Linked DNA regions of Stegostoma tigrinum. The protein of the gene in region 2 interacts with the protein of the main gene of each other region in a pairwise test. Links are inferred from orthologs where the notes say so. Each region holds a gene or a part of one and is shown on either strand. Other genes may lie near its edges.

The links.
Region 1: the proteins of pacsin1b (region 2) and cobl interact in binary tests that used the Homo sapiens proteins (3 or more experiments, as listed by UniProt). The link is inferred for Stegostoma tigrinum from reciprocal best matches to the Homo sapiens genes PACSIN1 and COBL.
Region 3: the proteins of pacsin1b (region 2) and ankycorbin-like interact in a two-hybrid assay, tested with the Homo sapiens proteins (2 studies listed by BioGRID and IntAct). The link is inferred for Stegostoma tigrinum from reciprocal best matches to the Homo sapiens genes PACSIN1 and ANKRD24.
Region 4: the proteins of pacsin1b (region 2) and ehbp1 interact in a two-hybrid assay, tested with the Homo sapiens proteins (2 studies listed by BioGRID and IntAct). The link is inferred for Stegostoma tigrinum from reciprocal best matches to the Homo sapiens genes PACSIN1 and EHBP1.

What each region holds. Positions count from the first base shown.
Region 1 is NC_081355.1:94,435,228-94,443,133, reverse strand, and holds the start of cobl (protein cordon-bleu), read left to right. Parts: upstream 1-4,890; 5' UTR 4,891-5,262; coding exon 5,263-5,291; intron 5,292-5,495; exon of another isoform or gene 5,496-5,595; intron 5,596-7,906.
Region 2 is NC_081374.1:38,805,510-38,813,287, reverse strand, and holds the start of pacsin1b (protein kinase C and casein kinase substrate in neurons protein 1), read left to right. Parts: upstream 1-4,765; 5' UTR 4,766-4,995; intron 4,996-7,778. Other genes in the region: rps10 (40S ribosomal protein S10), read right to left, coding at 2,685-2,834. UniProt on the Homo sapiens protein: Plays a role in the reorganization of the microtubule cytoskeleton via its interaction with MAPT; this decreases microtubule stability and inhibits MAPT-induced microtubule polymerization.
Region 3 is NC_081383.1:37,879,093-37,886,721, reverse strand, and holds the start of ankycorbin-like, read right to left. Parts: upstream 3,017-7,629; 5' UTR 2,886-3,016; coding exon 2,676-2,885; intron 1-2,675. UniProt on the Homo sapiens protein: Component of the stereocilia rootlet in hair cells of inner ear.
Region 4 is NC_081362.1:1,092,258-1,099,763, reverse strand, and holds the start of ehbp1 (EH domain-binding protein 1), read right to left. Parts: upstream 3,017-7,506; 5' UTR 2,818-3,016; intron 1,380-2,817; 5' UTR 1,104-1,379; coding exon 1,000-1,103; intron 1-999. UniProt on the Homo sapiens protein: May play a role in actin reorganization. Links clathrin-mediated endocytosis to the actin cytoskeleton. May act as Rab effector protein and play a role in vesicle trafficking.

The sequences.
Region 1 (7,906 bases), on a different chromosome or scaffold from region 2:
CCACAAGTGTTTGTTGTTTGAGGAACTCCAGCTCATCAACCCTGAACCTGAGTTTCAAACACTGCGACACATCAGAGAGGGGGAGAGTTGACTCGACGCTGTGTTTCAGGAGGCAGACAAACTCCTTAGATTAACGACCTCAAATTTGGTCAGTGGTCAAAGACGGGAGAGTGTGATTATGAGTGAGGCAAGTAGAGGGATCCAGTAGATGGTGCTGAAAAAGCCTCAGCCTTTGAGCTTGTCTAACAGGTTTGAGATTCTTGCTCCCTGTGTGGATGACAGTAGGGGCTAGAGGGCGAATTAGCAAACTGATAGCACCATGGCACAGGGAGCCATTCAAGAGGAGTGAAAAAGGAAAATGTAGGGGACAGTATAGTCAGGGGAGTAGGCACTGTTTCCTGTGGCCAGGATCGAGAGTCCCAAGGGCTGTGTTGCCTGCCTGGTGCCTAGGTTCAATTTCTCTTGTTTGGGCTGCAGAGGAACTGGCGTGAGAAAGATACAGTTGTTGTAGTAAATGTAGGTACCAGTAATATAGCTAGAAAGAGAATGGAGGTTCTGCTAAAGGAGTATGGGCAGCCAGCACTAAATTAAAAAGAAGAGTCAAAAAGGTGTTATTCTCTGGATTATAACTGAGTCACAAGCAAATTGGCACAGGGCAGATGATTAAAGAGGTAGATGCAAGGCTCACAAACTGGTGTGGGACTAACAGGTTCAAATTCATTGTTCATTGGCACTAGTATTCGGGAAGGAGGGAGCTGGATGGGCTCCACCAGAATCGATATGGGACCAGAGTCCTGGCGAATCACATAATTAACACCGTGGATAGGACTTTAAACTAAGTAGTGGGGGTGGATTCAACTATGAGAAAGGGGGCAGTCAACACAGGGCTGGCTTGAGGGTGTTGTGCTTAAGTGCATGCAATATACAAAGCAAGATAAAAGAGTTTTAGCACAGATTGAAATTGGCACAGATAATGTTGTGGGTATCGCAGTGACATGGCTGCAAGGAGAACAGGGATGGAAACTAAATTTTCAAGGATCTGTATCCAATCAAAAAGACAGGCAGATGGGCAGACAGGGTGGAATTACCTTTCTGGTAAAAATGAAATTCAATCAATCACTAGAAGTGACATCGAGTCAGAAGGCGTGGAATCTGTGTGGGTAGAGTTGTAGACTGGCCTAGGGAAAAAGGCCCTGATTGGAGTTGTGTACAAGCCAGCCAGCAGTAGCTAGGATGTGGGGAATCAGGAGAAGGAAAAACCATGTCAGAAAAGCACTTTTCCAATAATCATGTAGGACTTCAATATGCAGGTGGACAAAGAAAAAGAATTTGTGGAATGTCTCTGAGATTTTGTTTTGGAACAGTTTGTGGTAGACCCCATAGGTGGTAAGCAGTTCTGGATTTGGTGATGTGTAATGAAGCAGACTTGATTAGGAAGCTGAAGGTGAGGGAACCTTAGGGACTGTGAACATAATATGATAGAATTCACCTTGCAATTTGACAAGAAGCAGCTAGAATTAATACAATTAACTAGCATACAGATAATTAAAATGAAATTGGGAAGGAGCTGGCCAGAATTGATTGGAAGGCCAGCCTAGGAGGGTAGATGGTGGATCAACAATGTCAGGAGTTTCTGCAGTAATTCAGGAGATATAGCAGAAATTTTCCCCAAGGAAGATGAAACATACTCATTGGAAGACAAGGCAACCATGGTTGACAAGGGAAATCAGGGGCAGCATAAAAGCACAAGGAAAGGCAGACAATGTGGCAAAGATTAGTGGGAAAATTAGACAATTGGAAAGCCTTAAAAAGCCAGCAGAGGATAACTAATCAAGTAATAAGGGAGAAGAAGATTAAGTATGACAGTAAGGTATCTAGTAATATGAAAAAGATTGCAAATGTTTATTTTTAGATATCCAAAAGATGAAAGCGAATTGAGTGGACATTTGACAGCTGGAAAATGAAGCTGGAGAAGGGGTAGTGGGGAACAAAGAAACAGCATTGAACTGAATAGGTAATTTGCATCAGTTTTCACAGTAGACAACACTACAAAACAAGCCAGAACTTCAACAGTCAGGGGCAGAGGTGAGTGCAGTGGCCATCACTAAGGAGAAGGTGTTAGGGAAGCTGAAAGGTCGAAAGGTGGATAAATCATATGGAGCAGATGGACTATACCCCAGAGTTCTGAAGGAAATAGCTGAGGAGATTTTGGAGGCATTGACGGTCATCTTTCAGGAATCACCAGAATCAGGAAGAGTGCCAGAGGACTGGAAAATGAGGAATGTCACACCCCTATTTAAGAAGGAAAGGAGGCAGAAGACTGGAAACTATATATAACAAGATGTGGAGCTGGATGAACACAGCGGGCCAAGCAGCATCTTAGGAGCAGGAAAGCTGACGTTTCAGGAGGGGTCTAGGCCAAAACGTCGGCTTTCCTGCTCCTAAGATGCTGCTTGGCCTGCTGTGTTCATCCAGCTCCACACCATGTTATCTCGGATTCTCCAGTATCTGCAGTTCCTATTATCTCTGATACAGGAAACTATAGACTGTTTAGCCTGGCCTCAGTCATTGGTAAGATTTAAGAGATTAGATTTTACATTATTAAGGATGAGATTGCAGAGTTCTTGGAAGTGCATGATAAGGTAGGGCTGAGTCAACACGGCTTCGTCAAGAGGAAATCATGCCTGACAAATCAGTTTGAATTCTTTGAGGAAGTAACAGCAAGTTAGACAAAGTAGAATGAGAGGACATGATCCATTTGGATTTTCAGAAGGCCTTTGACAAAGTGCCGCACAGGAGGCTGCTAAGTAAGATAAGAGCTCATTATGTTAGAAGCAAGGCACAGATAGAGGATTAGCTGACCGGCAGAAACAGAGAGTATGGATAAAGGGGTCTTTTTCAGGATGGCAGCTGGTGATGAGTGGAGTTCATGGGATCAGCATTGGGACCACAACTACTCATGTTGTACATTAACCATCTGGTCAAAGGAACTAAGGACGTTATTGCTACATATGCAGATGATACAAAGATAGGTGGAGGGCCAGGTCGTGTTGAGGAAGTGGGGAGGCTGGAGAAGGATTTGGACAGGCTAGGGAAATGGGTAAAAAACTAGCAGAAGGAATACAATGTGGGAAAATGTAAGGTTCTGCAATTTGATGGCAAGAATAGAGGCATTGACTACTTTTTAAATGGAGAAAGATTTTGGAAACCTGAAGCACAAAGGGATTTGGGAGCCCTAATTCAGGATTCTGTTCGGGTTAACTTGCAGTTTCAGTTGGCAGTCAGGAAGGCAAATGCAATGTTAACAGTCATTTCAAGATGACTGGAATGCACGAATACAGATGCACTGCTGAGGTTGTATAAGTCTGTGGTGAGAAGCATTTGAAATATTGTGAGCAGTTTTGGGACATGTACTTAAGGAAAGATGGGCTGGCCTTGGAGGGGTCCAGAGAAGGTTACAAAAATGATCCGAGGGATGAAGAATTTGTCATAAGGAGCATTTGAGGACACTGGGTCTGTATTCAATGGAGTTTTGAAAGCTGAAGGTGGATTTGATTGAAATTTACAGACTACTGAGAGATTTGGATAGTGTGGGCATGGAAAAATGTTTCCACAAGGAGGAGGGACCAGGATCCCAGGGCACAGTCTCAAAGCAAAGCAGTGACTTTTTAGAATAGAGATGAGGAAAATTTCTTCAGGCAGAGGCTGGTGAACATGTGGAACTCGTTGCCAGTGTGGGTGTGGAGGGCCAGTCATTGAGTATATTTAAGATGGAGGCAGATAGATTTTGATTGGACAGGGGATCAAGGTTTAAGAGGAGAGGGCAGGAGGGTGCAGTTATGAAACAGATCAGTGATGGAGTGGACTTGATGGCCCAAATGGCCTAATTCTGCTCCAAAATCATGGTTTTGTACACTATCTGCCCTCTTGTTCCTCCTTTGCCTCTTTCAAAAGTACATACACAAACTTCAATCAGTTCTCAGAAGTCACAAGTCCAAACGTTGAGTATTTTTCTCTCCTCAGATACTGACAGACTTGAATCTTTGTGTTTGTCACATTGAAACAGCATTTGATGTACATCCACATAATTACTTCCCAACTCGTCAAAAAGGCATAAAGGTTTTAATGAGTCAAAACGGAAAGCAAAGTTGAGGAGAGCAGGGAGTTATCCCAGAGTTTCGGGTGGAAGCAACTGAAGACAACTCGCTATGAGAAGTTGTGTGTTCGAAACTTATGTTGCTTCTATGATCTGAATCAGAGGAACGTAGATATCCGGGGTGGTGTAGCTACAAGAGTTCGTAGAGAATAGATTTTGAATTTATGAGTTTCCTGGTGTCTCAGCTGCGTTGAAGTCTCGTGTAGCTCTCAACCGTGGCTACTGTAACTTGTGCTTCATGTATGTGTTAATTTGTTAATAACGTTGTCTCAGCGATATCCACATATGAATATAGGCAATCCTGAAGTTTTGAAAATACATTAAAAAGAATTAAGCAGCACGTTTATGGTGTAATTGAAGACATCATAGGTTTATTTGATCGGAGATATACTTTGCACGACATCAGACAAAAGTGCCTTTTAAAACGTGCATTCCAAAACTATGCAGTCAATGTAGTCCAATCAAACCATGATCAAAAGAAAACAATCTGAATATAACTGCAAAGTACTTTTGTACCTCAGTCTGGGTTGGACAAAGCGGTGATTGACAGGAGATCCCGAGGAAGGTGGTTAATTTCATGCAGGAGTTTGGAGACAGTAGCAGAGAGAGAAGGGCGCATTCAAAAATAAGGTTGCTTTATTTTCATTAATTAATCAAGAAAGGCGTCGAGGGAGCGAATGAAAGGAGAGAGAACGCGACAAGAGCTGCTGTGTGAAATTGTTGCCAGTGTAAGTGCCTCTATTTGGAGTAGTATCTGGGCAGTGACTGATGTGCGGTGATTGCACATAGTTTACTGCTTATTCACTGGTCTAATTTTGCAGACAGTTGTCGTGCGTGTATGTACGTGAATTAGAAAGAAGAGCCGATCATATTTGTGACCCAGACTTTTGGAACCGTTGGTTGCGAGCACACGACCAAGTGCATTTTCCGCGCGTAGAGACTCCGATAAAGTTTGGGAGTGGGCGGAAAAGAAAGGTGATTTCTGATTAATTGGTTCCATCGCACTTTAGTGAAAGGAGCTTGGTGGTAACCCGGAGCGAGGTTGGTTGTGGACGACATAATAATAAAAAAAGCAGTACGAGATTGGAACCAGGGAGACGGCGACGATGGCGACAATTGCTCGGGCGCCGGCCGGGTATGTTGACATTTCAAAAAGTTCGTTCTGCAACAAACACCTGGAATTCGATGCGAAATATTCGTGGCCGGTTGAGTAAATAATACAGTCGGAGAATGACGGGCATGAGGGTGGGGGTGTTGAATATTAACAGTGTCAGTAATCGTTGGCCCTGGGAACGGTTGGTCAGGCTTTGCCCGTTTCCCTGGAAACGCTGCCCCGCGAAGGGCGGCGGCGGCGCTCACACCTGTCAACGGTCAAACTGAGGGGCTACTGTGCAGGCAGAAGTCGGGCTTTATCTGAAATGCTGGACCAGTTGCACTAGGTTTGTTTTAAAAGGGTCTATTAACTTTAACAAGACTTTTTTTTAAGAGAAAGAAGGCCCGATCAGGCCTTGTATTTATCACAACACCGGAGAAGTAGATTGGACATCTCAGTCTGTAACAGCTGGTCAAAATTCCTCGTTATTTTCTCCACAAGAGTACAACTCTTAACGTTCACTTTTCGTATTGATCTGTGATTGTGTTGATATAGTCACGGCTTCCCTCCATATCTTGCTACATGATAACGCCATCAAACAAGATCCTGATGTGTAAGGGTAGATATTAATAATTTTAATGCAGCTCACTAGAATATTTTTTTCAATCGGACACTCTGGGCATTGAGACTAAGTTGCTAATGCGGTTTGATTCATAGTGAACGACAAAGTGCAATCGTTAATTTCAACGTTGTCAGTCAATGTCGCTTACTAAGCAGCACCGCAATCACAATACGCAAACGATTTCATATTTGGTTTCCTTTCTTATTTTGGGAAATATATTTATTTTTGAATGATACTCTGTTTAGTGTGTTTATATTCAAGGTTTTGCCCCAAAGGAAGCCATTCATATCCGTTGCTTGAAATGTTTATTTTCGAGGGCAAAGCAAATGCTTTAACAATGAGGTAATTGCACACATCCGTCCTTAAAGGTTTATTTTCTTTCAGCTGCATTTCTCTAACTGTGTGGATTTTGAAAACTCACAGTAGAGGGTCATAAACCTTTATTTTATGAGATAACAAGGTGCACAGCTAGATGAACACAGCAGGTCAAGCAGCATCAGAGGAGCAAGAAGGCTAACGTTTCGGGCCTAGACTCTTCTTCAGAACTGACCCTTCTTGTCTGAAGAAGGGTCTAGTCCCGAAACGTCAGCCTTCCTGCTCCTCTGACGCTGCCTGGCCTGCTGTGTTCATCCAGCTCTACACCTTGTTATCTCAGATTCTCCAACATCTGCAGTTCCTACTGTCTCTGAAACAACCCTTATTTTATGGTAGATTGAAGGAATTCCTTTTGCTTTCTGCTTAATGGTTAAAACAGCTGTTTTTCAGTGTTTTGCTCCTTTTTTCTAATTTTATCTTCTACATTTATGTGAGTGCCAAAGGCCAGAAACTAGATGCCCGTACATCTGTATTTATGCACAAATAAATGTCACCAGGAATTATTCGTTGGCAGTCCAGAGTAACAGTCTTGACAGATTGTGAGTAGCTGAAGGCTCTTATAGTTTCCAGTTTTTGCCCCATTTGAGATTAACTTGCCAGATATTAATTAAGTTTAAAATGTGACATGAAATCACCCAGGCTGTGTGAAGTTTAAAGTTACATACAGCCACGAGATTGTCAGGCCAAGTTCAGGCATTGACCTTGAGTAATATATAGTTTATCATCATTTTTCACTTGCTAAATTTTCTGGTTGTTGTATCTTGTAGGGCTGAGAATTAGTAAGAGAAGTCAGGAAATTTTCATGGAACTTCGCAATTATAACAATGTTAAAATGTTAGACAAATGATTATTGCTCAAAGTTGTTGAACATTTCAAGCCATTCATTGTTTTTGGTAACTCCTATGAAAGTAAAGCACTTAGAAGCCGAGTTTCATGTCAATCAACTTAAAGTGGTATCTATGGCTGACCTGCATTTGTAACATATTGGAAAGAAATTATGTCCATGATCTCTTCTGATATTCTGCATCACACATCAGTCATTCTTGATAGAAAGTAAAACTTAGAGCCATACAGCGCAGAAGTGGCCCTTCAACCCTTTGAGTTTATGCCAACTTAGCTACCCTACTTCCAGCACTTGGCCCATTGCCTTTACTGTTATGTGTCTGTGTACTTTATAATGGTTGTTAGGTTTCCAATTTACAATCCCCACTCCAGGCAGTGTATTACAGAATCCTGCCACCCTCTGGATGCCTCAAGTGCCCTCTAATCCTCCTGCTGCTATTTGCCTTAAAGTAATGCCCCTTGTTATTGACCATGTAACTAAGATGAATAACTGTTTCCTATCCACCCTACCCATGCCCCTCATTATTTTGTGCACCTCAGTCTTTTCTGCTCTAAAGACAGCAACCTGAGCCTATCCAGTCTCTCTTCATAGCTAAAATGATCCATCATGGGCAACATCCTGATGAGTCACCTCTGCATCTATTCCAGTGCATTCACGGACCAGACTCCAGCTGTGGCCTGGCCAAAGTTTTGTACAGCCCCGAAGTAATTTCTCTGCTCTTATAATGTATGCCAGAGCAAGCATCCTGTGTGCCCTCTTTAACTATCTTATTAACTATCCTGTTGTGTTCAGGGATCTGTGGACAAGCAGCCCAAA
Region 2 (7,778 bases):
CTTAAAATACAATATCTGAGATTCTGAACTACTAACTGGAGTAAAGCAAATTTAAGGGACAAATATGTAGCTTTCAGGGTACAGTGGGTATCTATCTATTTGTTCGAATATCCAAAACATATATGTCTTCCTTTGTCATCACTATAGCCCTCAAGTTACTGATCCATATACTGCAGTGAATTGCTTTGCAAACAGGCTTTTCAGATTAACAAGGTTTTTCATTCTTTTACAGGATCTGGGGCATCACTGGCAATGCCAGAATTTGTTGCCCAACCTGAAGTGTCCTTGAGCCATTATCATCTGTCTGGTGTGGGTGAGTCCACAGTTCTGTTAAAAGGGAGTTCTAGATTTCAAACATGGGTTTAGAACATATGGTCAAAAAAGGCTTAAATGAGTTGCTACAGTACACTGCTGTCTCTATGCATTACTAGTGGAGGAATAGAAGGTTCAAGTGAGTAGGTGAAATACCAATCCTGCAGACCCTTATCTTGGATGGCTTGAGCTTCTTCAGTATTGCAACAAGTACCTCTACCTCGCAGATGATCCACTGACTTTTGGGAGTCAGGTGGTGTGTTACACTGACAGAATTAATAGCCTGACTTGTTCTGGCTGGTCTAGCTGCTGCTGCTTAACAGCAACCTCCAACATGCTTACACTGGAGGATTCAGCAATGGTAATGCCACTGGAAAAACAGGAAATGTTTGAATTCTGTCTTGATGGAAATGGTCATCACCTGGCAGCTGTGTGGCACAAACATCACTTGCCATTTATTACTCAAAATCTAGTACAGTCCAGCTCTTGCTGCATGTATGGGTACAGACTGCTTCAGTATTTTAACAGTCGCATAGAATACTGTGCAATCAGCAAATATCCGCACTTCTGACCAGAGGCAGCTGAAAAATGATTGGCTTTAAAGTATACCTTGAAGAACACTTACAACTACGTCCAGGGAAGACCATAAGACATAGGAGTCGAAGTAAGGCCATTCGGCCCATTGAGTCCACTTCGCTTTTAATCATGGCTGATGGGCATTTCAACTCCATTTACCCGCACTCACCCCGGCCATCCCTTAATTCCGTGCGAGATCAAGAATTCATCAATCTCTGCCTTGGAGACATTTAACATCCTGGCCTCCACTGCGCTCCGAGGCAATGAATTCCACAGGCCCACCACTCTCTGGCTGAAGAAATGTCTCCTCATTTCCGTTCTAAATTTACCCCCTCTAAATCTAAGGCTGTGCCCACGGGTGCTAGTCTCCCCGCCTAACGGAAACAACTTCCCAGTGTCCACCCTTTCTAAGCCATGCATTATCTTGTACGTTTATATTAGATCTCCCCTCAACCTTCTAAACTCTAATGAATACAATCCCAGGAGCCTCAGCCGTTCATTCTATGTTAGGCCTACCATTCCAGGGATCATCCATGTGAATCTCTGCTGGACACGCTCCAGCGCCAGTATGTCCTTCCTGAGGTGTGGCGCCCAAAATTGGACACAGAATTCTAAATAGGGCCTAACTAGAGCTTTATAAAGTCTCAGAAGTACATCGCTGCTTTTATATTCCAACCCTCTTGAGATAAACGACAACATTACATTCACTTTCTTAATCATGGACTTTACCAGCTAGTTAACCTTTAGAGAATCCTGGACTAGCACCCCCAGATCCCTTTGTACTTTGGCTTTATGAATTTTCTCACCTTGTTACTTGATACACAGCCTCCAATAACCACAATCATCATCTATGTATCCGACTCCAAACCCCCACCATCCCAAAATTCCTGTTTAGCAAGGGCTCCTCAATGCCACTTGGTCAAACACTACATTGATATCAAGGGCAGTCAATCATACCTCGCCTCTTAAATTCAGCTCTTTTGTTAATGCTTGGATTACAGTTATAATGAGGTCAGGAACTGTATGACCTTGGTGGAGCCAAAACCGAGAACCAGCAAGTAGGTCACTGCTGTGTAACTGCTGCTTGTCGACTATACCGTCTAACCCTTTGCTGAAGTTTGAGAGCAGCCTGACAGGTGATAATTGGCTAGAATAACTGACTCTACCCAGGCAAGTTTACACATACTAGGTAATTGCTAGCTCTGTCCCTTTACTGGAACAGCCATGCTGAGGCAGTTAGCTTGAGCACATCCTCAGTATTATTGCCAGAATGCTGTCAGAGCCCAAAGCCTTAGTGGCGTGCAGTGCTTTCAGCTCCTTCTTGATATCATAAGAAGTGAACCAAATTGGCTGAAGACCCCCATCAGTGATGTCAGGGATTTCAGGAAGTTGGATCACCCCACAGCACTTCTGACCGAAGCTGTATGTAAAAATGAGGCCTGTCTTTCATTCTGATCGACGGCAGCCCTCTCTATCTTTGTGGTCTCCAGATCTATAACAGCGAGACAACTGCAACTCTCGAATGCTGACCAATCTTACCGTCTCTCCACCATTAGTGATCATGTATTGAGCTGCCAAGATCCTAAACTCTGAAACACCCTTCACACACCCAATACTGCTTACTTTCCATTTTTAATATTCACCTTTAAACATTATCTCCCTAAACACGTTTTTGGCCATCTGCCTTACCATTTCATCAACTAAAGGCCAGTGTCAAATTTGTTTCATAACGTTGATATGAAGTTTCTTCGAAATTTATAGACTGTTTATAAATCATAGTTATTTAAATATGATACCTGCATGGCTTTCATTACGTGCAGGTTTGGGACATTTTTGTCTGCCAGTTCTGGATGTTTTGGCATATGCACATCCTTCTTGGCTACCATTACCCCCTCCTTGAAGAGGAGCTCATAGATAGCAATACGATTCTTCTTAGGCATCAGCATCTGAAATAAAACAGAATAGGGGACTTCAACATTGGAATTTCACAAGATCTAGTTTGGTCATAACCTAATATTAGGTGATTCTCTTCCAATATGCACACGTTCACTACAACATTTATCTTATATTTTTGGTTAAGAGTAATCCAGAAGTACGCTGACAGTATCTGTGGCCTGGAACACTCAGTCCCTCCTGTTTATAACAACCTCCATCTGACAGCCTATAGAACAATTCTGAAGTTTGTTTTAAGAAAATGAAATAGCAACAAGGGGCTTATTACTAATTATAAATTTAGTCATTACTGATTAGAGACAAGATTTACAAAATTCAGTGTCCTAGTTAGACTCCCTCCTCCCTGTCCCTTTCAAAATTCCACCATAAGGTGTCCGTATTGTGAAATGCCTCTTCAAAGTTGTCTTTCTTCAACACCTACATGTCAATCTCTGTAGGAACGTCAACAGTAAAGGCAGCTAGAGACAGCGTAGGGCATATGCTTGGCTTCTTAAGGGGCCAGCCCAGATCAGGAGCCTGGGTTCTGTATTGAACATGTGACCTCCCACAATTTGGTAGTCTCTCTGCCCAAAGGCCCAGTGTTGAGGCACAACCTAAACTGCTGATGAAAACAGCTTTCAAACCAACAGTTTCATAATGAAGCTGAAACAAAGTAAATTAATCAAAAGATTGTTCTTATCTTTAGATGTATTTCTGTTAGTTACATCTGAAGATAAAATACAATCATTTTTGAAATATCACACTTAAGCTACTCAAGAGGCAGCTTCAGAAAGCGACTCCAAGCATACAATTTAGAAGTAGGTCAGCCAGCCCTTCAAATCTGCATTGCCAATTAATAAGCTCACAGCTGATCTGCATTCCAAATTCCACAATTCTATCTTTTATTATTCCTTAATAAGAGTGACAGTGGATTGATCATTATTTTCAACAATTCCAACTTCCTGAGGCAGAATATTCCATCACAGATCCACTGTAAAAAAATTCCCCTTACTTGCTGTAAAGAACATGACCCTAACTTTAAAAGTGTCCCCTCATTCCCGAATCACCCACCCTTTCTCTTTCCACCTTGTCAAGACCCTTGAGGATCTACAGGCTTGAATCAAATCACCCTCTGCTCTCTTGAATTCTAGTTGATATAATTTCAGCGTGTCCAAAGTTCCTCAGTAGACAAACTGCTAATTCCAGGTCTGAAATCAGTAAACTTCCTCTTAATCGCGTTTTCTTCTTAACATCAGTGCCTTTCCACCATGTGTATCGTCGATATTACGCTCAAACATCTATTACAGGAACTCATCTTTGAAACAGCGGTATAAGAGGAACACTTTCACCTCGGGGAAACCAGAAAGCTTGCATAAAATATTAACTTAATACTAACTATAACGGCACAAAACAGACACCTTTAAAACTACACAACATCCTAGAGAAACAACTTCCTGTAACTTTTATTCAGTCAATTAACAGAGCCTGAGGCCTACCCTCTCTATATCACCAAGACTGCAGCAGCAACTGGGAGGTATTTTATAAACTATTCAATAAATACTTATGAAATTATAGAAATGAGTGAGTGAATAAATACAGATGACGCGTGTCAACCACCATTGAGGTCTTGAAAGTTCACCCCAGCGGGATGTTAGAGATATTTAAGGATTTTGGACAGCCTTTCTTCACATACCTTGAACTCTAATAATGGGGCTGAAGCCGGAAAAGACCGAGCATGCGCACTCGGAGCCTCTTCCTCCTTCGGCGAGGGTCCTTAATATTGCAATCTGCGCTAGCTGCCCTGACTTAAATAAATCCTCGAATAATTAGAAGGAATAGCCGAGTTTGATATTTTTAAAAAAAATTATACTTAATAAATGCAAATTGTATTTTGTCCCGATCGGTATAAAAGATTGGGCGCGTTGGCCAACTGGGTCTCGAGGGTCAGCCGTTAGTACCGTTGATTTAAAGGAACGGTTGTGGTTGTGGCGGTAAGGGAACGATTGGTGTGTGCTTCTGCACAGGGGTACTACTGAGCTGCAGTGTTGTGGCCAACATGGAGACTTTTATCCCCGATTACAGTACTTCATTTGGGCGCAGTGATGGTGTTTCGGGCAGTCGTGCCTCCTGGGAATTGTAGTTCTCGGTGGATGTTGTTGGAGCAGCACCAGGACAGTGAGTGGCGCTTAGAAAATGCTGGGAATATTTATGCACAAATATAAGCTCAAATGGAAATATAGTGGGAAAATTTCTGCAAAATAGTAGGATGCTGGGAATATTTCTGCACAAATATAGGCTCAAATGGGAATCTAACTGAAATGTTGAAAATACAGCAAGAAGACTAATCTTTCATGTTGCTTGCTTTCAGAACTGCAATCTAATTATATAGAGCTGCAACCCTGCTTTCCCCCTCCCAATCCAATGAATAATTCACATGAAGAAACTTGAAAGTCTGATTCATGTGGCTGATGCTGATATTTAACATAATTTGTTCACGTTACCTAATTGGCTTATTTTCACTAACAGTTTCAGCCATTTCTGATTTATTTCATTGTGTCACTTGCTAACCTCAACCCCTTTCACATCCCAATCCTACCTTCTATAGATGCTGAGGAAAAATCTATCCCTTGTTGCACTTGCACCTGCCCAGAATCCCAACTGTCTACCTTTTTGGTGTCTGTAGCTATTGATTTATTCAGTTGGATTCTTCCTCCACCTTTTGATGCTGTAGGCCATGAGGAGGAAGAGTGAGGCACTTGTCACTGCCCTCCTGTTCTTTAGATGACATGTCCATCATGGGCCTCCTGCAGTGCCACAATGATGCCATGCAAAGGTTGCAGGAACAGCAACTCATATTCCACTTGGGCACCCTGCAGCCCAATGGTATCAATGTGGACTTCACCAGCTTCAAAATCTCCCCTTCCCCCACTGCATCCCAAAACAAGCCCAGTTCGCCCCCTCCCCCCACTGCACCACACAACCAGCCTAGCTCTTCCCCTCCCCCCACTGCATCCCAAAACCAGCACATCCTGTCTCTGCCTCCCTAACCTGTTCTTCCTCTCACCCATCCCTTCCTCCCACCCCACCCCTACCTACTAACCTCATCCCACCTCCTTGATCTATCCCCTCCCAACCTCCCCATCTACACTTTTCTCTCCATCTTCGGTCCACCTCCTCCTCTCTCCCTATTTATTCCAGAACCCTCACCCCATCCCCCTCTCTGATGAAGGGTCTAGGCCTGAAACGTCAGCTTTTGTGCTCCTGAGATGCTGCTTGGCCTGCTGTGTTCATCCAGCTTCACACTTTATTATCTAAGTATTCAGAGAGCTTCTGTCTTGGGTAGATTGAGGACCAATGTGCGGGATGCTGTTGGTTAACAGAGGAGGCTATCAGTGTGTTACAACATTTGCTGCAGTCATAATTTCAGCTATACATGAGCAGCATTGCCTATGTCTGCCAAGGTGATCATCACCCTTTTTATGCCATTGACTCCTTTCCAATTGCAGTAGACGACATAAACAACAAATCCTAAAGTTGCCATTCACCGCTGTTCAGGAAGGTAACTGAGGTCACTAGACCAGGGAAAACACTTATATTTTCTTCTCCTGGAGTAGAAAAATGAGTATGAGGGAGTGCTAGGTTTCATCTGCATTACAGCCCCCCATTACCTGTCCAGCAGTTGTATCATATGAAAGAGATTTTACTCCTTTAATATGTTAACGACCAAGCAGTCAACCTGCTCAAACAATGTTTTCACAGACGATTTAGAAGGACCTGTGCATTATCCCTGAGTGGGTATCCAGATTAGAGTTATCTGCTGCGTGTTGCGTAACTTTGCCGTAATCTGTCTTTACCACCATTTGGATAGGAAGAAGTGAGCTTTCAGTGCAACTGTGAGCTGTCAGGAGAGATTCCTTGATGGTGGGCAGCAGTGTCTAGTTGATGGACTTTGCACTTTGTCCATATTGGATAGAATACTCTCCATTCTGTGCAAAGACATAACATGGATTGGAGCATGACTTTTCGGTATACTGTGACCTTGTGCACCAGTTTGCTGGCAGACTGCATAGTGCAACTAGAATTTCCTGGACTAAGTTCCTCAGAATTCACTGATTGCTTCATTTTGAGCCCTTTATTTTTCAGTGCAATGAGGTGTTTCACTTGGAGCTGGTGTACTTGGTCACCATCTTTGAGCACTCTGACCTGAACTGCTTGGCCCACTCTCCAGGCAGCAGCAGGCACACAGCAACCTGGATCTCCTGGGAGTTGATGGAACTGCACTTATTTTTGGATTGGTGATAATCTCATTGGCAAATGAGTTCATGATGTAGCTAGGCTAAAATACAATCTCTCTTTCTGGTGAACTATACCAATGGCACCCTTCACGCTTTGGCCAGTGATTTTAATATGTGAAGACCTTCCCCTTGTCGAGAATGTAACATACATGGGATGCCAGTATCCATGCAGGTGCTGACAAGGGTGAGATTGAACACATATCTTCAGGAATCTTCCTCAGATAATGCCATACATCATTAGCACCTGCAAACAAAGACAAGAGCTTTCTTTTTGTATGAAGGAAGAGCAGAATGAAAGAAGTCACCAGTGAAAACATTTGCAGTTGAATAAATATCACATATTGACTGTGACAGTGCCTTTCTATTTATAGTCATGCATGATTAGGCTTTGATAGCTATGAAAGGTGGTGCAAATTTTAAACCAACAGATGTTAATTTAATGTTTCTGAACAAATTGTTTTAAATTCTTTGTAGTGATCAGTTGTAGAATTCATTGGTTTGCAGTGCTCTATTTATAGTGCAGTGATTATGCCAGCATTACCCACCCTGACCTGATAACCAAGGGTGTTTATTGGAGAGAAAATGTCAGCTTTTCCTTGTGGCACATTGATACTTGTTATGGGAGCTTGATAAATGCAATTGCCGTTCAATGTGATCTCCAGA
Region 3 (7,629 bases), on a different chromosome or scaffold from region 2:
CACATACCACCCACCAACCTCCGGATACAACAAATCATCGTCCGACACTTCCGCCATATATTTGCCCCCATACCTCCTCCCTCACCCACATCCCAGGCCCCAAGATGACTTTCCACATCAAACAGATGTTCACCTGCACATCCGCCAATGTGGTATACTGCATCCGCTGTTCACGATGTGGCTTCCTCTACATTGGGGAAACCAAGCGGAGGCTTGAGGACCGCTTTACAGAACACCTACGCTCGGTTCACAATAAACAGCTGCACCTCCCAGTCATGAACCATTTTAACTCCCCCTCCCATTCCTTAGATGACATGTTCATCCTGGGCCTCCTGCAGTGCCACAATGACGCCACCCGAAGGTTGCAGGAACAGCAACTCATATTCCGCTTGGGAACCCTGCAGCCCAATGGTATCAATGTGGATTTCACAAGCTTCAAAACCTCCCCTCTCCCACTGCATCCCAAAACCAACCCAGCTTGTCCTCGCCTCCCTAACCTGTTCTTTCTCTCATCTATCCCCTCCTCCCACCTCAAGCTACACCTCCATTTCCTACCTACTAACCTCATCCCACCTCCTTGACCTGTCCTTCCTCCCTGGACTGCCCTATCCCCTCTCTACCTCCCCACTTATACTCTCCTCTCCTCCTATTTTCTCCTTTATCCATCTTCAGTCCGCCTCCCGCTCTCTCCCTATTTATTTCAGAATCCTCTCCCCATCCACCTTTTCTGATGAAGGGTCTCGGCCCGAAACATCAGCTTTTGTGCTCCTGAGATGCTGCTTGGCCTGCTGTGTTCATCCAGCCCCACACTTGTGTTACCTCAGATTCTCCAGCATCTGCAGTTCCTATTATCTCTGATCACACCGAGTGGAGAGTTTGGTTGGTGCAAGTAGCAGCTGAGTGCAAGCTAAGAGTGCAAGATCAGAGGATTAGATAGAGTGGACAGTGAGAGTCTTTTTCCTAGGATGATGACATCAGCTTGCACGAGGGGGCATAGCTGCGAATTGAGGGGTGATAGATTTCAGACAGATGTCAGAGGCAGGTTCTTTACTCAGAGAGTGGTAAGGGCATGGAATGCCCTGCCTGCCAATGTAGTTAACTCAGCCACATTAGGGGCATTTAAACAGTCCTTGGATAAGCAAATGGATGATGATGGGATAGTGTCGGGGGATGGGCTTAGATTAGTTCACAGGTCGGCACAACATCATGGGCCGAACGGCCTGTTCTGCGCTGTGTTGTTCTATGTTCTATGTTCTAAGAGGAATCAACCGAACAAGTCCCTGTTGGTGGTAACAGGCACCTAAGATTGTGAAGGTGACACCAGAGAGTGAAAGGACAGGAGCAGCACTGACAACAGGGGCAGAGGGAAGAGGTGTACTGACACCCATAGTACTGGGAAGCACATCATGTTCAGAGTGAGATGTACAGGCCATAGAACAAGAAATCTGCAGAAAGCAACATTATGGTCAATGTGGCAACACAGCACAGATATATAACCCAAATTATTTGAACAACATTAAAGTGAAATAACACTGACTGGGGCAAAGTTTAGCAGTAACTTATTGCATGTGGGTGTAGTTTATTTACATGGTGTCCTCACTAATTCTGGTCTCTAAATCAACATCACTAAAAGGACAGACTACCCAGTCATAATCACTGTGTCGTCTATCAGAGTTTCTCCTGTGGAAACTGAAGCTACATTATAATAGCTAATCCATTTCAAAGATGGGATATCCTGGAAACGGACCTAAAGGATATGTAACCATAATCTTACCAGACCACGGGATTACAATCTCATCAAAGGTTCTTTAACCTAAGGGTCCTCATATCCCCAGGCAAGGGGAAAGGTAACCTCAGACAGGACAGGGATTGAACACACACTAGTAGTATCACTCTATTTCACAAACCAGCCATCCAGACAACTGAGCTAAACCATCTCACAGAGTGGTACAGAAATGAAAATTTTTAATTTATTCGTCTCAGGAGAGATTCGATCCGTGTAGTTAGGGGTTTTGAGTCTTAATGTCATGCCTAATGAAAGAGCCCTGTAACATCACAAAGTACCGTGGGCAGAAACGGCAATTCCAACAGAATCTGTCCGGTCAGATCTAGCAATCAATAGACAGCTACCATCTATTGTGTGGTTAAAGCAAAGTATAACAAAAAGCATTTTTCATACATTTTTCATAATTCACTTTTACGTTTTCTTTTACATGGAAGCATGTAAAACCATAGAGGGCTGCAGTTAGCTCAGTTGTTTAGATGATTAGTGTATCGATCTGATGGATACCAGCAGCCCCATTCAATGCCCAAATGCCTGAGGTATCCTTGGGCCCCTTCCTCTCACGCTGTCCTCTATAGTACAGTGACAGCACTTTGCTCCTGGCTCGCAAATAAACATAGCCCAAGACCCTCCTGCAGGCTCAAGGAGATGTAAAATCAAACTCATACAAAGCTGATTGTTATAAAAAAGTACTGACTGATTTGCTGTAACAATACATTAAATGCTGAATGTTCCCCAGTTGCGACCCGACAACACCTACAGTTCGTGAATGAGTGGGTTTTTAAAACGTGCTCATTCGAACGAATGCAATGCAGCATCAATGCTATTTAACCATAGCACACAGTGAGCAGGATGAAAATATAAGGGAGAAAGAGAAAGCAAACATACTGACAGAGAGGCAGCACAGAGACAGATCCGTTTCATAACCGATCGCAAATGTCTGATGGCCATGCAGCTCCTGATAAATACTGTTCCCTTCCTCAGAGAACGTCCTCCTGCTGCTGCTACCCCTCTCTGCCCAGCCAGGATCACAGAGTCCAGCTTCTGCTTCAGGAATACTGGCGGTCCCGTCTCCCTGGCACACTGCAGTCTGCTGCAGCATCAGACCCCATCCCCCAACAATCTAGCCCCTCTTCAAAACTGGGAGGACACCGTTTGCTGAATATCACCAACAGCTCAGCAACCAGGGAGCCTTTGCTTTACTCCAAGTGACTGCATTCAATGCTTCAAGATGTCAATCAACTCTATACATTAATAAAACAGCAGGGAGCTGTGCAGGTTACAGTCAGATTCAAGCAAGTTGCTGTTAGCATGCTGGTAGCATGTGCAATACCTCTCTCTGAGTTAGTACCCTTTGCACATTAGCCACTCCAGGTTAGTCAATTATTTCTTTATCTAATCTTCAGTTTGATCACACCTGAATTCTTCTCACTGGGGGATATGTGGCGCTCTCCACCTGTCTCAAGTTCTGAATGTTTCAGGTGTATGTCGACTGGCCTCCCCCTGTCACAGGTTTGCTTTTCTCTCCCCCAGGGGAGATGATGAAGCCAGCGGTCTCCGTGTGATTTCTCCTGACCGATCCACATCTGTCTTTGTGAAGAGTGCAGTCCAGCAGCAAAGTCAAAGCTCAGCAACGAGCAGCATCCCGGTGACACCGGCGCTGAGATTAACCAAGCTCTGTCACGGCATTTGATGAGAACATAACTGCTTTGGCATCAAAGATAATGGGAACTGCAGATGCTGGAGAATCCAAGATAATAAAATGTGAGGCTGGATGAACACAGCAGGCCAAGCAGCATCTCAGGAGCACAAAAGCCGATGTTTCGGGCCTAGATCCTTCATCAGAGAGGGGGATGGGGTGAGGGCTCTGGAATAAATAGGGAGAGAGGGGGAGGCGGACCGAAGATGGAGAGAAAAGAAGATAGGTGGAGAGAGTATAGGTGGGGAGGTAGGGAGGGGATAGGTCAGTCCAGGGAAGACGGACAGGTCAAGGAGGTGGGATGAGGTTAGTAGGTAGATGGGGGTGCGGCTTGGGATGGGAGGAAGGGATGGGTGAGAGGAAGAACCGGTTAGGGAGGCAGAGACAGGTTGGACTGGTTTTGGGATGCAGTGGGTGGGGGGGGGAAGAGCTGGGCTGGTTGTGTGGTGCAGTGGGGGGAGGGGACGAACTGGGCTGGTTTAGGGATGCAGTAGGGGAAGGGGAGATTTTGAAACTGGTGAAGTCCACATTGATACCATATGGCTGCAGGGTTCCCAGGCGGAATATGAGTTATTGTTCCTGCAACCTTCGGGTGGCATCATTGTGGCAGTGCAGGAGGCCCATGATGCTTTGGCATCAAATTCTTTTGTCTGTTCATCTAACAAAGACTGGAGGCCGAGTTTTCTCATAATCCTGCCTGGAGGTAGCGGCACCAGCAATGTAAGCAGCATGCACGCTCCTGGCTCCATTCACTCCAGACCTGCCACTTCCTCCCTTCGTTCCAGACCCTTTTCATCTTCTTTCTGTAAGGGTGGCAGACAAAATGACATTGTGGAGGAGGGCAGCCAGAGTGGGGCTCGTCACAAGGCAGTTACTGACCAGCCTGGCAGCAGAGCCAGGGGCTCCTGATGGTGCTCGGCCCAGAGCCCGGGGGCTCCTGCCGGTGCTCGGCCTAGAGCCCAGGAGCTCCTGGCGGTGCCCATCCCAGAGCCCAGGTGCTCCTGGCGGTGCCCGGCCCAGAGCCCGGGGGGTCCTGGTGGTGCCCGGCCCAGAGCCTGGGGGCTCCTGGTGGTGCTTGGCCCAGAGCCAGGGGCTCCTGGTGGTGGTCAGGCCCAGATCCTGGGGCTCCTGGTTGCAGGATGTGTGAGGGTGTGGTATGGCTCCTGGTGGTGGCGGTAGCGAGGTGAGCCCAGTGGCACCTGAAGAGTGATGACACCAACATTGGTGGGCCCAGCACAGGCTGCAGTGAGGAAATGGAAGTGGGTTGATGGTACAAGACTCATGGTGCAGGCAGTGTAACGAGGAGGGGCTTTCTTTCAGTTCTCTCATTTTATTCATAAGATATTCAAATTGGCACTGGATTTTGGTGGCAGTTGAAACTTTTCACTGTAAAATACAAGCAACAATAAATCAATCATAAAAAAGTTAGAGGAAGTGGGAAAATGAGGGAGGGAAATGCTCAAAGGCAATCACCAGCTTGAAGAACTGCACAACATTTGCCTAACTGTTTCAGTCTACAAGCCTTACCAAGGACCCCATCATTGTAGGAGCAATAATCAGTTTGTAGCCCAAGAAAAGTTTTCTAAGGTTTGCATCATAGAATTATTTAGGATAGACGAAAGGTCTTGCGACTCAGTAGCAGTAGCCCTGCCTTTAGGTCGGGATCTCTGGATTCACATCTCACGCCATAACATGTTGGCCATGGAAAGTCTGTCTTTGCAAAAACATTCATTAAGGAATCTCTACAGCACAGATAGAGGCCATTCAGCCCATCACATCTGCACCAACCTTTTCAAGAACATCCCATCCTGCTCCTGTAACCCTGCATTTTCCATGACTCATCCACATTGCTGAACACTATGGGCAATTTAGCATGGCCAATTCACCTAACCTGCACGTCTCTGGACCGTGGGAGGAAACCAGAGCACCCTGAGGAAACTTCACGCAGACATAGGGAGAACGCACAAACTCCAGTCACCCGAGGCTAGAATCAAACCTATATCACTGACACTAACCGCACAGCCACCATGGCGCCCATTAGCCTTACTCACCTTTATGTACTCCCTTCAAACATGGAGCCAGATTCCCCTTTACAAAGTTTATTGTCACGTGTATCTTGTTACAAAATGTAGTGAAAAGTGTTGTATAGTGTCACTCTTTTGCGCCATCATAAAACACAAAGTACACCAAAACTTCAAACTTGTTAAGTACTCTGTCATGAGCCACGGACCTGGTGGTCAGGCACAAGTCCCATTTGCCATCGCTGCTGGAGTGAAAGTCACTACTTGTCAGCACCATCTCACCTCCATCAACACCATTGCCAGTCTTCACTGGGCCTCACCGATGCAGACACCACTGATGTCACCAGGTACCGCACCAGCCCAAACTCACCGCCACCTCTGTGCCAAAACGCTGCCAGGAACTCAAACTCGCTGTGCTGTTGGGCCCAGTCTCTGCCATCAATGCCATCGCCGCAACTGAGCTTTTCACCAAGAGGTAAGAGTAAAAGAAGAAAGGACAGGAAAACAGAAACGAAAAGCAAACAGAGTTGTCAAGCCCTGGGCTCAGGATCCCACTGGATCAACCAATCAGCAAGACCCTGGAGTATAAGTTTTTCTGATGGTTTGAAATTTGGCATTCTTGCATTTGTCCTGAAGACTAAAAGATGAAAAGCTCCAGCAAGATGTCTCACTTTTCAAGAATATTCAAATTCTTTATGATGAGGTGACTGATAGTATTGAGTTTGCAGTCGCAGAGATAAGAGAATGTGATGGGCTTGGTACTGACCAGGTAAGAGCATTAACTTTCAAATCAATGTGTGGGTATCAAGACACATTCAACACCCAAAAAACATAGTGCTGGGTTTAGCCAAATTTGTGAACATTTGTACAATTCAGGAGTGAAGTTGCTGTTGGCTGTAACATAAAAATAGGCACTAGGCATTGCTGAATGCAGATGGTTCATAGCAGGAGTGTCAGCCTTCACTATCACACATTTGCTATTCTGAATGCTTGGCAGCTATTGTTAGACACAAAATGGTCTTGATCCTTTTTATTTTAATTTTGTTTAATAGCTCCAGAATGACAAAATAATAGCTTCCTCTGCTCAGTTTGTTTTCATCATTGATCATCATAACACTGATTATTTTTCTTTACTCCTTAATGCAATGTGGATGCTACGGCCAGACTGGCATTTGTTGTCCAACCCTAATTACCCTTTAACTGTGCAAGGGTCACCTCAGAGGGTATTTAATAGACACACACATTGCTGTGGAGCTGGGAGCGACATGCAGAACAGGCAAGTTAGGCTGGCAGATTTCCTTCCCTGAAGGGAATCAGTGAACCCAGTGGGATTAGTCAGTGTTACTGGGATTGGGTTCTGATTCCAGAATTATCAGTTGAATTTAGAATCCACCGGCTGCGTTGCTGGGATTTAAATCTATGTCCACACAGTATTAGTTCGGATGCCTGGATGGCTAGCCCAGCAATCTGATCAGATTGCAATTCAAGCACATTCAATTTTCACAACAAAGTTTCATATCAAAAGTTTGGATGTTGTTTGACAAGGGAAGAACCAAGTGTCACCTGTTTCATGACTGCACATGGGAACAGCAGAAGGCTATCCAGCCCTTCAATCCTATTCCACATCATTAACTAAGTCAAGGCTGGCTTGTGTCTCAATTCCCTTTACTCAACCCTGAAAAAAAACACCAACTTTCCCCTGAATCACCTACTTCCAGAGTCACTAAATGTTTTAGGTTTTAGATCTTTCAGAGGAACCTTTGATAGTGGCTTTGTTGCCTGAACAATGCAAAAACAAATTCTGAGAACAACACCAAGAATGCTCTTTTGTATTATTCAAGCTGGTCAAAGAATTTGACTGTAAATCATGAGGCTTTGTGGATTGTGTTCCAGAGATTTGGATTTCCAAGAAGCCATTTTGTCTAGTCCCCAACACAAACTCCACTCCCCAGTATTTTTTTGTTGTCTTTTTATTCATTCATGGGATGAAGTTGTCACTGTCTGGGCCTGCATTTTTTGCCCATCCCTAGTTAAGAGTCAACCAAATTGCTGTGGATCTGGATTCACATGTAGGCTAGACCAGGTAACAACGGCAGTTTCCTTCCCTAAAGGACGTTAATGAACCA
Region 4 (7,506 bases), on a different chromosome or scaffold from region 2:
CTGGAGTACTGTGTGCAGTTCTGGTCACCCTGCTGTAGGAAGAATATTATTAAATTGGAGAGGTTTCAGAAAAGATTTACCAGGATGTTGCCAGGAACAGAGGGTTTGAGTTATAAAAATAGGCTGGGACTTTTTCCACTGAAATGTAGGAAGTTGAGGGGTGACATTACAGAGGTTTATAAATCGTGAGGGGCATAGATAAAAGGTGAATAGCAAGGGTCTTTTCTCTAGGGCAGGGGGAGTTCAAAACTAGGGAGCATATTTAAGGTAAGAGGTGAGAGTTTCAAAAAAAGACACGAGGCAAATTTCTGTTTACAGAGAGTGGTTCATGTGTGGAATGAACTACTAGAGAAAGTGATGGATGCAGGTACAGTTACAACATTTAAAAGGCATTTGGATAAGCTCACAATTAGGTACAATTTGGAGAGATATGGGCCAAGTGCAGGCTAATGGGACTAGTTTAATTCGGGAACATGGCCGGCATGGACTAATTGGACAGAAGAATCTGTTTCCATGTTGTATGAATCTGTGATTCAATATCTTTTTGTACCAAGATAATGGCACAAGTACCACGGTGCAAAATATATCAGTTGCAAGTGATATTGGTGTTGCTAATATTGTATTATAAATAAATATGAGAACTTGTCAGCTGGAAAGTCCTGGTTTTTTTTCATGTACTAGACCCTTGACCATGCCGAAAAAAGGTTTATCTAACAATCTCAGATGCAAGTGAAAATTAATCCCAGAGCATTCCCAAACCTGGAAGATGATCATTACCAATCTATTAATGACATGAACTCATGCACAATTTTAATAACCACAAGAGTGTCCTCCAGTTCTCTCCAAACATCAGAGGTTTCTCAACCCTGCCTAATTCACCATAATCTGAGTTGGTCTTTGCAAAGAATAAATTACATCATTAGTTGCAGGAAGACAATGGCTGCAGGCCAATAGTACAACACTTACAATCTGATACAACAATAAATTTATTATACTCACCATTTTTTTGTGCACTCTACCATTAATTCTTGGTATGAAGCCACAAATTGGAACTTGGATGCATGCTTTCCCACACGTTGCAGCCGTTTCCAAACTGAAGCCATGATTATTATAACTTGGTTTTGGACAGATGAGTTCAGGTATAAAACACAGCTTCAATTTTCCAAGTTTATAATTTAGACATACAAGTGTAGATCCTTTAAGAGCGATAACATTTCTTCTACACGTTCATTGAAAAAAAATCACAAACAGGATGACAGATTCCAATGTGGATTGCCAAGTACTCCAGTAACCTGCATGGCTGTGGCAGGAAGTTGCTGTCAATTCAACCAGTCATTCCTCTATGGGTTCAAATGACGTTGAATCATCAGGCCTGGAAACTGAGACACAGATACCAGTTTAAAATAAATGCAAACAGAACAACTAGCACACAACTACAAGTAACAAAAAAAAACTGGTAGCCAACAACTGAAGCACTTTACCAAAATGTTTTAAATGACCACAAAAAACAATCACAAAAATGTATTTTAAGATTTCAATGACTTGTAAAAGTTGTCGCAGGAGCTAGTGACGTATTATTTAAATTCACCCTCAAACATTGACATTTATCTGCTCAATTGAAACATCAGTGCAGAACATTTAAAATCGAAAAACGTCTAGATTTCACCACCTCAAAAATGCTGATGCTCTTGCCTCTGAAAACAAAGTGCATTATTCATCATTGAAAAAAAACTCACCATCTGTCTTTTTAAAGATATCAGTTTGTCTATTACAGACATTTACACAACAAAAGATTACAATTAACACAAAGCTGACAATCGAAAAAAATAAGTAAGGCATGATCAACACAACACAAGCAAATCAACCCTTCTGAACATTTATCACTGCACAAAACTTGCAGACATTTAGGCCACAAAGACGGGACAGCTAAAGTATGATACCAGAAATATCAGATGGGGCTTTCACTTCCAAGTGAATGCACTCAGACTCAAAGACTACAGACAGTCCACCATATTAAACAGTGACATCCCAACCAATCTAGACCCCCACACCCCCAACCCCAGGGAAATCTTCCTGCTCCAGCGCATACCATCTCAACAACATTCCCACCTCTGTCAACTACATTCTCCCGGAAGAAAATATCAACCCCGACTCCTTTCAGAATAGCATGACCGTCTTGACAGATGCACCCCCTCCACTTCCACCGGCATTGCTCTCCATACACACACACACACACACACACACACACACACACACACAACCCAGATCCTCCCAAGCCAGCGCAGATCTCCCCCTCAGGACACACTCCCCCACATCCCACTCTCATGGTCTACCCTCAGAGCCAACCCCTCAGTGCATGCAGACACACACACACACCACACACCCAGAGTCTACCCCTCAGGGCACACACCCCACCCAAAGCCTACCCCCAACAGAGAACACCACCCCCAACCCCCGCCCAAGAGATTCCTCTTCAGGACGCACAACCCTCACCCCACCCCAGGGTCACCCTCACTAACCTGGCCTTCCTCCTCCCTCACCACCGCCCCCCCGCCGTTTCTTGGGGTTCCCCTCACTGACCAGTCCTGCACCCCCAGACTCACCCTGGCTGATCCCCCCGGCTCCACCTCACTAACCTACCCTAACCCCTCCCCTCCCCCACGTCCCCCCTCACTGCCTCCTTCAACCCCTTTCACCCCTCACTGTCGCCCGCCCGAGTCCCCACTATCAACGTCCCCCCTCCCCGCCACCCCCGGGGGGCGGGGTAATTGTCTGGCAGTTCTCCCCCTATTCCGAGTCCCCAGGTCATAAACCCACCGATTGCGACTTTGTGAAACTCGCTCTCCTTGGCCGGTTACTCGGAGAATGAGAACACGGCCTCAAACCCCGGGGACGGCTGTCGGCGCCGTCTCCATCCTGAGAGGACCGGAGACCGAGGGCTGGAGGCCGGGGACGGGGCAGTTCTCTCAGCCGACCCTGCTGCGTCCGCCCTCTCGCACCAACCTGCCGCCGGTCGCGCGGCAACAAAACCCGCCCATTCCCGCAGCCCATTGGCTGGACTCCGGGCCTGGTGATGTCAATCGCCGGTGTGGGGGCCTACGTCAGTTCCGGCTGTCAGATCCCAGCTCGAGACAGAGAGAAAGACAAAGGAATAGTGGGAAGAAGGGATAGAGGGATGGGAAATAGAGGGAGGGATATACAGATGGGGAATAGAGGGATGGAGACAGGGAGGGATAGAGAGAGAGGAAAGAAGAGAGGGAGGGATAGAGTGAGGGGGGATAGAGAGATGGGGGACAGTGGGAGGGAGGAAAGGTGGGAGGGATACACAAGAGGGGAAGGTAGAGAGAGATCAGAAGGGATAGCGAGAGGGAGAGATGGAGAGATCGGAAGGGACAGAGAGAGGGAGGGATGGAGAAATGGGAGATGGGGGAGGAAGGCAGGAAAGGAAAGAGGGATGGGAGAGAGAGGGGATGGGATAGACAGATGGGGAATAGAAGGAGGGAAGGAGAGAGAGATGGCAGAGAGAGATGGAGTGAGAAAGAGGGAGGGAGACATGGGAGAGGGAGAGATGGGAAATGGAGGGAGAAACAGGGAGGGACGAAGAGGGAGAGATGGGAGATGGTAAGATGGAGAGAGAGAGTGATCAGAAATGGAGGGAAAGAGAGAGATCGGAGATGGATGAAGAAAGAGGGAGAGAGAGAGATCGGAGATGGAGGGAGGGAGAGATGGGAGAAGGAGGGAGGGAGACATGGGAGAGGGAGAGATGGGAGAGGGAGAGATGGGAAATGGAGGGAGAAACAGAGAGGGAGGAAGAGGGAGAAATGGGAGATGATAAGATGGAGAGAGAGAGGGATCAGAGATGGAGGGAGAGAGAGAGAGAGAGATCGGAGATGGAGGGAGAAAGAGGGAGGGGCAGAGAGATGGGAGAAAGAGGGATGGAGGGAGAGATGGGAGATGGAGGGAGAGATGGGAGAGGGAGAGAGAGATGGAAGAGGGAGAGAGAGATGGGAGATGGAGGAGAAAGAGGGAGGGAGAGATATGAGATGGAGGGAGAAAGAGTGAGGGAGATGGGAGATGGAGGGAGAAAGACCGGGGGAGGGAGAGATGGGACATAGAGGGAAAAAGAGGGAGGGAGAGATGGGAGATGGAGGGAGCGAGAGATGGGAGAGGGAGAGATGGGAGATGGATTGAGGGAGAGGGAGAAATGGGAGAAAGAGGGAGGGAGACATGGGAGATGGAGGGAGAAAGAGGGAAGGAGAGAGAGATGGGAGATAGAGGGAGAAAGAGGGAGGGAGAGATGGGAGATGGCGGGAGCGAAAGATGGGAGAGGGAGGGAGAGATGGGAGAAAGTGGGAGGGATAGATGGGAGATGTAGGGAGGGAGAGATGGGAGATGGAGGGAGAAAGAAGGAGGGATAGATGGGAGATGTAGGGAGCGAGAGATGGGAGAGGGAGAGAGATGGGAGATGGAGGAAGAAGGAGTGAGGGAGGGAGAGTTGGGAGATGGAGGGAGAGATGGGAGATGGAGAGAGAAATGGGAGATGGAGGGAGCAAGAGGGAGAGATGCGAAATGGAGGGAGAATGAGGGAAGTAGTGAGAGGGAGAGATAGGAGAAAGAGGGAGGGAGGGAGAAAGAGATGGGAGAAAGAGGGAGGGAGAGCGAGATGGAGGGAGAAAGATAGAGGGAGGCAGAGATGGGAGAAATGGAGGGAGAAAGTCGGAGGGAGGGAGAGATGGGAGATGGAAGGAGAAATAGGGAGGGAGAGATGGGAGATGGAAGGAGAAATAGGGAGGGAGGGAGAGATGGGAGATGGAGGGAGGGAGGGAGAGACGGGAGATGGAAGGAGAAAGATGGTGGGAGAGAGAAATGGGAGTTGGAGGGAGCAAGAGGGAGAGATGCGAAATGGAGGGAGGGAGAGATGGGAGATGGAGGGAGAATGAGGGAAGTAGTGAGAGGGAGAGATGGGAGAAAGAGGGAGGGAGAGAGAGATGGGAGAAAGAGATAGGGAGAGCGAGATGGGAGATGGAGGGAGAAAGAGCGAGTGAGGGAGAGATGGGAGATGGAGGGAGAATGAGGGAAGTTGTGAGAGGGAGAGATGGGAGAAAGAGGGAGGGAGGGAGGGAGCAAGTGATGGGAGAAAGAGGGAGGGAGAGAGAGATGGGAGATGGAGGGAGAAAGAGAGATGGAGGCAGTGATGGGAGGGGGTAGATGGGAGAAGGAGGGAGCGAGAGATGGGAGATGGAGGGAATGGGAGATGGAGGGAAATAGTGGGAGGGAGGGAAAGAGAGATTGGAGATGGAGTGAGAAAGAGGCAGGGAGGGAGAGACGGGATATGGAATGAGAAAGAGGGAGGGAGGGAGAGATGGGAGAGGGAGGGAGAGATGGGAGATGCAGGGAGAAAGAGGGAGGGAGAGATGGGAGATGTAGGGAGAAAGAGGGAGAGAGAGAGCTGGGAGATGGAGGGAGAAAGAGGGAGGGAGGGAGGGAGAGATGGGAGTTGAAGTGAGAAGGATGGTGGGAGAGAAAGGAGAGGGAGGGAGAGATGGGAGATGAAGGGAGAAAGAGGGAGTGAGGGAGATATGGGAGATGGAGCGAGAATGAGGGAGGGAGGCAGAGATAGATGGAGGGAGAAAGAGGGAGGGAGAGATGGGACATGGAGGGAGAAAGAGGAAGGGAGGGATAGAGAGATGGAAGATGGAGAGAGAAAGAGGGAGGGAGGCAGAGAAAGATGGAGGGAGAAAGAGGGAGGTAGTGAGAGATGGGGGAGTAAGCGGGAGGGAGAGGTGGGAGATGGAGTGAGAAAGAGGGAGGGAGACTTGTGAGAGGGAGAGATGGGAAATGGAGGGAGAAACAGGGAGGGAGGCAGAGATAGGAGCTGGAGGGAGTAAGAAGTAGGGAGAGGTGAGAGATGGAGGGAGAAAGAGGGAGGGATGGGAGATGGAGAGAGGGAGAGAGAGAGTGATTGGAGATGGAGGGAGAGAGAGAGATCAGAGATGGAGGGAGAAAGAGGGAGGGAGAGAGCGATGGGAGAAACAGGGAGGAAGGGAGAGATGGGAGTTGGAGGGTGAGATGGGACAGGAAGTGAGAGATGGGAGATGGAGGGAGAAAGAGGCAGAGATGCAAAATGGAGGGAGGGAGAGATGGGAGATGGAGGGAGGGAGTGAGAGAGAGATGGGAGAAAGAGGGAGGGAGAGAGAGATGGGAGATGGAGGGAGAGAGAGATGGGAGATGGAGGGAAGGAGAGATGGGAGATGGAGGGAGGGAGTGAGAGAGAGATGGGAGAAAGAGGGAGGGAGAGAGATGAGAGATGGAGGGAAGGAGAGATGGGAGATGGAGGGAGAAAGTGGGAGGGAGGGAGAGATGGGAGATAGATGGAGAAAGAAGTAGGGATTGAGAGATGGGAGATGGAGTGAGAAATCGGAGATGGGGTGAGAGATGGGAGATGGAGGGAGAACGAGGGAGGGAGGAAGAAGGAGAGATGGGAGATGGAGGAAGAAAAAGATGGGAGATGGAGGGAGAAAGAGGCAGGGAGGGAGAGATGGGAGTTGGAGGGAGGGAGATGGGAGGTGGAGGGAGGAAGAGGGTGGGAGTGATAGATGGGAGATGGAGGGAGAAAGAAGGAGGGAGAGAGAGATGGGAGATGGAGGGAGGAAGAGGTAGAGATGCAAAATGGAGGGAGGGAGAGATGGGAGATGGAGGGAGAATGAGGGAAGTAGTGAGAGGGAGAGATGGGAGAAAGTGGGAGGGAGAGAGATGGGAGATGGAGGGAGAAAGAGAGAGGGAGGCAGAGATGGGAGAGGGGGAGATGGGAGAAGGAGGGAGGAAGAAATGGGAGATGGAGCGAAGGGAGATGGGAGATGGAGGGCCAAAATGGGAGGGAGGGAGAGATGGGAGATAGAGGGAGAAAGAGGTAGGGAGCGAGAGATGGGAGATGGAGCGAGAAATGGGAGATGGGGTGAGCGATGGGAGATGGAGGGAGAAACAGGGAGGGATAGATGGGAGATGTAGGGAGCAAGAGATGGGAGAGAGAGAGTGATGGGAGATGGAGGAAAATAGAGGGAGGGAGGGAGAGAGAGATGGGAGATGGAGGGAGAGATGGGAGATGGAGGGAAAAAGATGGAGAGATGCGAAATGGAGGGAAGAAGAGATGGGAGATGGAGGGAGAATGAGGGAAGTAGTGAGAGGGAGAGATGGGAGAAAGAGGGAGGGACGGAGAGAGAGATGGGAGAAAGAGGGAGGGAGGGAGAGAGAGATGGGAGGGAGAGAGAGATGGGAGATGGAGAAAGAGAGAGGAGGCAGAGATGGGACGGGGGAGATTGGAGAAGGAGGGAGGGAGATTTGGGAGATGGAGGGAAGGGGAGATGGGAGAAGGAGGGAGAAAGTGGGAGGGAGGGAGAGATGGGAGACAGAGGGAGAAAGAGGTAGGGAGTGAGAGACGGGAGATGGAGGGAGAAATGGGAGATGGAGGGAGAAAGAGGGAGAGATGCGAAATGGAGGGAGGGAGAG